Linked DNA regions of Kluyveromyces lactis. The protein of the gene in region 3 interacts with the protein of the main gene of each other region in a pairwise test. Links are inferred from orthologs where the notes say so. Each region holds a gene or a part of one and is shown on either strand. Other genes may lie near its edges. The genes, in order: SOP4, YOR1 and PDR12.

Evidence for each region.
Region 1: the proteins of PDR12 (region 3) and SOP4 interact in a protein complementation assay, tested with the Saccharomyces cerevisiae proteins (2 studies listed by BioGRID). The link is inferred for Kluyveromyces lactis from reciprocal best matches to the Saccharomyces cerevisiae genes PDR12 and SOP4.
Region 2: the proteins of PDR12 (region 3) and YOR1 interact in a protein complementation assay, tested with the Saccharomyces cerevisiae proteins (2 studies listed by BioGRID). The link is inferred for Kluyveromyces lactis from reciprocal best matches to the Saccharomyces cerevisiae genes PDR12 and YOR1.

What each region holds. Positions count from the first base shown.
Region 1 is NC_006038.1:665,561-668,123, forward strand, and holds SOP4 (Sop4p), read left to right. Parts: upstream 1-1,328; coding exon 1,329-2,033; downstream 2,034-2,563. Other genes in the region: KLLA0_B07623g (40S ribosomal protein uS11), read right to left, coding at 389-398; BPH1 (Bph1p), read left to right, coding at 2,303-2,563. UniProt on the Saccharomyces cerevisiae protein: Involved in the export of PMA1, possibly through the monitoring or assisting of PMA1 folding and acquisition of competence to enter vesicles.
Region 2 is NC_006039.1:1,237,365-1,239,604, reverse strand, and holds the end of YOR1 (ATP-binding cassette transporter YOR1), read right to left. Parts: coding exon 643-2,240; downstream 1-642. Other genes in the region: DNA-(apurinic or apyrimidinic site) lyase APN1, read right to left, coding at 1-232. UniProt on the Saccharomyces cerevisiae protein: Functions as a pleiotropic drug pump at the plasma membrane to clear toxic substances from the cytosol. Organic anion transporter involved in the detoxification of a wide range of toxic environmental organic anions that contain carboxyl groups.
Region 3 is NC_006038.1:841,643-844,074, forward strand, and holds the end of PDR12 (ATP-binding cassette multidrug transporter PDR12), read right to left. Parts: coding exon 603-2,432; downstream 1-602. Other genes in the region: EXO5 (Exo5p), read right to left, coding at 1-176. UniProt on the Saccharomyces cerevisiae protein: Plasma membrane transporter which mediates resistance to water-soluble, monocarboxylic acids with chain lengths of from C1 to C7 by active extrusion of the preservative anions from the cytosol.

The DNA.
Region 1 (2,563 bases), about 180 kb from region 3:
CCTCATTATCATCGAATTATCCGGATATTTATCTGATTCTGTTACAGGCTGAAAGAGTCGTGCAAGCACTTTTACAAACGTAAGCTTCCTGCTTTGACTGTAAGGAAAAATACCTGAGATTCTGTGGTGAAACACCTACTCAACTTGGGTACTTCCTCCTTCTTGTCGTTGCATCATCACTAAAATACTGTTTGAGATAGCACTATTGAGATTGAAGAAAGTGTTAACGTTACAATCCATTACAGATAACTAACATCGACACGACTCCGCAAAATCACACACGAATACACTTATCAGAGTAATCCATACTTTTTCCAATGGTTTTTATCCATCCTTTCTTGAAGAACAACTAAAGGGTTTTAAACGGGATACCACCCCTCGCACGTACCGTTAGCCATTCTTGATATGTTTTTCTGGTCTCTGAGGTCTAAGCTTAAACAATAATAAAGTTAATGTTGATATATCCAAGCTTATACATGTAATAAATGATAAATTCATTAAAATCATTGACAATTTGTTACTATGAAAAATTGAAGCTGACCTTTGGATATTGAAACCTACGATCTGGCAAAAATGTGTCTGCCATTCATTTTCCACATTCTATCTTGACAAATTAGGAAATTCTTAACATAAATGAAATTCGAAAAGTAATGAAAGCCATCCCTCTTCAACAATGTCTGGGTGTTTCAGAAATTAGACAGTCCCGAAATTACTGTAGAACTCCACGGTTGTTAGATTGGCGAACCTATGTCAACAAGAGAGAAAGAGAAAACTATACGGCGCAAGTTTCTGTATATATCATCTATTGAACGTTTACTAGATGGATAAGGAGGGAATGAGATGTCGGGCTGTATGCATATGAGTAATTGGTCCTAGACGAACAATGTTGGAAACATCTTTCGCAGTATAGATCACTCCATTAAACATTGACAGCCATTTTCAAACTGAAAGCTTTAATCTCGAACCAGGTTGTAGAGAAGATATTGTCTGGAGAGTCACAAATCCACTACAATAATACCTGTTCTGAGGAATGTACGCTTTCTTATGACCTGATCAAAACGGACGTATCTCAACTTACTGTATAGTATTGTTTATAATAATGCATCTTATTCTCATCTTTTATACTAAATTTTCTTGAACGAACAAAATGAAAAAGTTCAAAAGTCAGATAAATCCGGGTAATAATATTAGTAACTATTCTTTCTTCTGGAAATGAATCTCGAATGGTAACTAAGACGCATAAAGAAGTTAATGATAACGGTAAAAACACTATACTCTGAGACTGAACTAACGTATGGCAATTAGTTTACTCCTCCAAAGAATCGGGGATGAATTTTGTACTTTTTTGCTTTCTAGTTTGGCAGTTCGTAAACCCAGGTGCTGCATTCGATATTAAGGGCAGACTAGATTTGAAAGTTAGGAACGTTTCGAGACATGATATATCGAGAACCTATTTTAACCTGTACAGGATACGGAATCCCAATGATGACTCGGAATGGGATTCATATTCACAGTCATCAAAATTGGAGAATATCAATGGTGAATTCACCTTCAGCGATGTTCCCATTGACACTGGTATCAATAGGACGACATACTTCACATTACATTCGCATTCCAATGAATTCAATTTGAAACCCAACAGAATACTGATACAAATTGTAGGTAACGGGCAAGATCAGGAACCTAACCTCAGCGCCTTTGAGAACAGATTTGGCAGAGAGTATTTCCCATCTCCAGATATTACATATCCCGAAACTTTGAATCCATTACCCTTGGATTCTGCAAACCGTTTAACAATAACAACGATGAACAAACAACCATACAGAAAATATATAAAGATAAGAAATCCTGGAATCCTCGAGAGTGGTCCCATTGCCAGTGTTTTAAGATCAAAATTCAAGCTAGCAGGCGTCGTGACAGTGATATTTTTAGTTTTGTTCCCTATTTTGTTGGAGAAGTTCGATCCTGAGACTGCTAAAGCTATGAGACAAGAGAAGATGCATAGAGAGAACGCAAAATATGTTTCAAAATAGCTTTTTCGTTGAATGGTGTATGTATTACACTTGTATAAGTTACGAATATCTTGCAAATCTTATTCATCTTTTGCACACTTTCCTAGTTTTTGTACTTTATCTATGAAAAAAATAAACAGCTAAGAAATTAGGGAAACAGCTTGAGAAACAAACGAACAAACACTTATCATAGTAAGGGCGAAAAAAACCCAAAATACGTTCACTCACTTATAGATTAGTTGAATTTCTGCTAAGAAAATATTATACTAGGGAATGACGTTTGTAATATAATGATCCAGGAGTACGTTACATTATTAGCTCAGGTGCTTAACTTGGTTCCAGAGGATGATTCTGATCTGATATCTATTTTATGTGATATTTGCAATTCTTACGAAAATACAGCCTCTAAAGATGAGCTATATACATACACAACGTTTGAAATAAGCCAGAGGTTTAATAACATCGAGCCAACGGAATTGAATTTTGTATATGATGACACATCGAAGTGGGAGAAGCTTTTATCTCATCAGTCATCGGAATTGAGCTACATT
Region 2 (2,240 bases), on a different chromosome or scaffold from region 3:
AGTTCTCATTGAACTTGGTGATTTCTGATTCGGGATACGGTTTAGAATTCCATTGTCTTGGCGACTTCAAGAACATTGCAAACGAATTACAGCCAATTTCATGGGCATTGGTAACGCTGTTGGATATACCACCAGCACCGCTGACATGAGCACCGAATTTAAATTTGGAAGTCGTAGACCTGACAAATGACATTCGATTAGATAGGTATCGACGTGATGAGTAAGTCTCCATGCACTTTCGTATGCGATATTTCAATATGTGCAACAAGAATATAGACAAATTCAATTCTGATTAGATTTCTTCCTTTAAATATTTCCCATACTTATACAAACGTGCACTACGGTGAATAAGTGGAAGTGCGGAAGAGAAGAAAAATACATAGTATGCCGTAGACACAGGGAATACTATTCGAATGTTAGGAGTACGGTAAAGAAGATTGATGGTTTTGTAAAGTTTTATTATTGATTTTAAACTATGAATGATCGTTGTGGCTGATAGAAATTTTAGGCTCATTAAATATATAGAAAGCAGTCATTGCTTACCGAAAATATATGCTAATGCAAGTCTTTGGAAAACATGCTGTTCACACCAAACCAAACAACAAAATGTAATGCAAAAGAAATAATGATATATACAGGAGATTACTTTGAGTTTTCGAAGTCTGCAGGAACAATACCAGCACCGCGACACATTTCATTGAATATAGAGTCACGGTCATTGTACAATTTTTTAGGAGTGTCGAACTCAACGACTTGCCCTTGATCTAAAACAAGAATTCTGTTGTAAGCCAAGATAGTCTTCAAACGGTGGGCAATACATAAAATAGTACAGTTGGAGAATTCTTCCACAATACGAGATTGAATTTTGGCATCCGTTGCATAGTCCACAGATGACGTCGCCTCATCTAAAATTAAAATCTTTGATCCCCTCACAAGGGCTCTGGTCAAAGCCAATAATTGGCGTTCGCCTAAGGAGAAGTTGGAACCATCATCCTCCACCATCTGATCTAAATGGAATTTGAACATATCACCAGAAAGTCCATTAGCATCTTTGTGCTGCGCTCTGATGGAATCTACGTCTTTTCTGTCGATAGCACCCCCACGTACCAATGCATCCCAAAGTTGTTCGTCCGTACACTCTTGGAATGGATCCAAATTTCTACGAATATCACCCTTGAAAAGAACTGGATCTTGAGGAATGATTGCAAGTTTGCTTCTAAGCTCATATAAACCAAGAGTGCTGATATCAATGTCATCGATGGTGATTTTACCTGTCTTTAATTCCACTAGTCGGTAGAGCGCACTCATAATGGTAGACTTACCTGCACCAGTTCTACCGCAAATACCGATCTTTTCGTTTGAGCCAATGTCTATAGATACATTTTTTAGTGCCACAGGTAATTCAGGTCTATAAGCCAAGGAAACGTTTTCAAATTTGATACGACCTTCAGATGGCCACTGTTCAGGTGGCTGGGTTTCTAATATTCTGTATTTGGCTTCAATAGGCAAATCATAAGCATAGTTTACTAATCTCTCTGCACTGTTCAAGTCATTTTCAGTTTGAGTTTGAGAACGAAGTAGTGCATTCAACAAACCTGGCAACTGCAAGACGTAAGTTACCATAACACCAACCGAACCTGCACTGACATGGAACTGACGAGTAACACAAAGTAATGCAATGATCAAAGCAAATATAACAGCCAACATGTCTAGACTGATCGCCACCCATCTCTGAATACTAGTAACCAAGTATCCTGCTTCATTCATTTTGTTGATTAAGAAATCGGATTTCATTAAAAATCGTTGCTCGCTACGGTATGCTTTAATAGTGTCCATACCTCCGAGAACTTCGTTGAAGTTATTGTAAACAAAAGATCTCTGAACAGCATCCATACGTTTGATTTCACGACCGCTCGCTTGATAGTGATCAGCCACGAAAACATATAGGAAAACTAAGAATGGCATGGCAATGGCAAACCAAGGAATGTAGATGATACACAAAATGATAATACCAGTGAGATTTGCGATCTGGAAAATCAATAAACGGACTGACTCTGTAATTTCGTTGTCTAAGGTGTCCGTATCTTTAGTGAACCTGTTCATAACTCTACCAATTGGAGTGACATCCATGAAGCTCATTGGAGCATGCAATAAACGTTGTAGAGCCTTGATGTTCAAATGCTTAGAGGCATATGTACCCAGTAAACCGATACTGATGAACTGAGTAAACATGAACGCAA
Region 3 (2,432 bases):
TTAGCCCTAGTGCGGCTTAGCTTGCTGCTGGAGGTAGTCTGTTTCACAGTAACTAATTTTAATGCAGAATCAATAGCCTTCAGATCATCTTTATTGAATTTTATAGATTGAAGGTCCTCTAATATCAAATGCGTGTTTCTTTTAATAGAGTACAACCGTAAAAATCGCCTTATCATAATTTGAGCTTTCTTCCTTGAACCCTGGCAGCAGGCGCAATGTTACCGCTCAAGCAGTTTCAACAACTGGTTATTCCGCTCTAAAGCAAATTTATTGTGGAGACAGAACTTTCTTATTGTTAAAAAAAGCAGACCCTAATTACGGCTTTAACACTCTTCCCAGTGTTCTTTAAGTACCTGAAAGATACCCTGTGGACATCATTTCAAAGTAGCGTGTATCTTCTTGAAGTTTCTTAAAAAATCATGATACGACATTTTGATATGTAGTTTCTCAAAATGCTCATTTAAGGTTTTAAGGCAATTATGTAGAATGAATATTGAATAAAGTGTAAAAGATTCTTAAATATTTATAAAGACGATAAATGAATAAAAAGATTGTAGAAATAAAATAGGTTTTCTATAGCGGAGTTACTGGGTAGGTAAGGATTAATTCTTGGTTCTATTGACATTTTCAGCATCTCCTGGTTTTTCTTGGAAAATAGTTGTGTCCTTTTCGTGTCTGTCCTTTGGTTTAATAGCATTCTTCCAAGTACCGATCTTGAAGATCTTGAAAATACTAGTAACGGAGTAGTTCTTCACTCTCATAACCCAGTAGCAGAACAACATTGCGAAGAAGTTGAAGATAATATATGCCCATAGGAAACCGAAATTTCTCCACCTATAGACCCATTTGACATTAAATCTTGCAACAACTTCTTGTTGGTAGCTGTATGGACAGTACTGACAGCTTTGTGTGTCATTTGGATTGGTCAAGTAACCAGTGTTATCTTCGATGTAAGTTGACAAGTATTCACCACATGTTTGACCTTCTGGTGGATCCATAACGGCGAATTCATTCCTGCCACAGACGACCTTTTTACCTTGAACAATTGGTGCGACTAACGATTGGACAACATAAGTGAATGGAGACACGTTGTACATGAATCTCTTCCAAAAACCAGGCATCTTTTCTCTTGGTTGCAAGATACCACAGAATAACAACATGGCAGCGAACAAGTTGGAGTTGATCATAGAAGCAGATGGCACATCTGGAGACATATAGAACACCCAACAACCGTAAGAGATAAAGTATGCAGGGAACATGATAACGTAAATCAAGAAGAAGTAACCAGCATGGGAAGCACGACCAGTGTATTGTGCTGGCCAATAGTAACAAATCCAACAGATAAATTCACAGGCGGTGGACCAGATGATTTCGACGGTACAGTGACATAACAACAATGCAGACCAATGGAAAGTGTTCGAAGCAGCTTCTCTGACTTCGTACAATTCTCTAGAATCCAAGGCAAACACATGCAATTGGTTAACCATAGCTAAGGCAATCAATAACATCATGAAAATAGATGCAAACGATTGATTGGCACCGGCAATCGAGTGGTTAACACCAACGTAAGACAAACCAACGAACAAAGCACACAGGACACATTCCAAGAATTTGGCTCTAATGTAGACTGGAGATCTCCAGAATTGAAGCCAAGTTCTTCCGAAAACACATTTCAATTGAGTCAAGTAGTTAGCAGCATACTTACCAGATAATTCCTTGTCATCAGTAACAGGTCTAGAAGCCAACTTTCTATGCAATTCTTCGACTTCTTCTCTGGCAGCTGCACACTCAGGAGATTTTAGCCATAGATCATGCCAGTCCTCTGAGGCAGAGGCAGTTGCACCAGCACCGATACAGTTTAACATATATTCAGCAGGATTTTCAGAGATACCACACTTAACACCAGATTGACGCTCGAAGTAGTTTAGCAAAGTACCGGAATTTTCACCGATGTCACCAAAGTACACCATCTTACCACCCTTCTTCAATAATAATAATCTATCGAATTGTTCGAATAAGGTAGCAGAAGGTTGATGGATAGTACACAAAATAGATTGACCAGAATCAGCCAAAGCTCTCATGAATTGAACAATAGACCAAGCAGATTGAGAATCTAGACCGGAGGTTGGTTCATCCAAAAACAATAGCAATGATGGTTTAGCGACCAATTCAACACCAATAGATAACTTCTTTCTTTGTTCGACATTCAAACCTCTACCGGTCTTACCAATGATAGCTTCAGCATACTTTTCCATACCCAACAAAGAGATGATCTTTTCGACGTAATCATACTTTTCTTGTAGTGGAACAGATTTTGGTTGTCTCAATTCAGCAGCGAATCTCAATGATTCTCTCACGGACAATTCACCCATATGGTTATCAGATTGAGCAACGTAACCACAGGATCTGTTGAAGGATAAAGGTAGATCCTT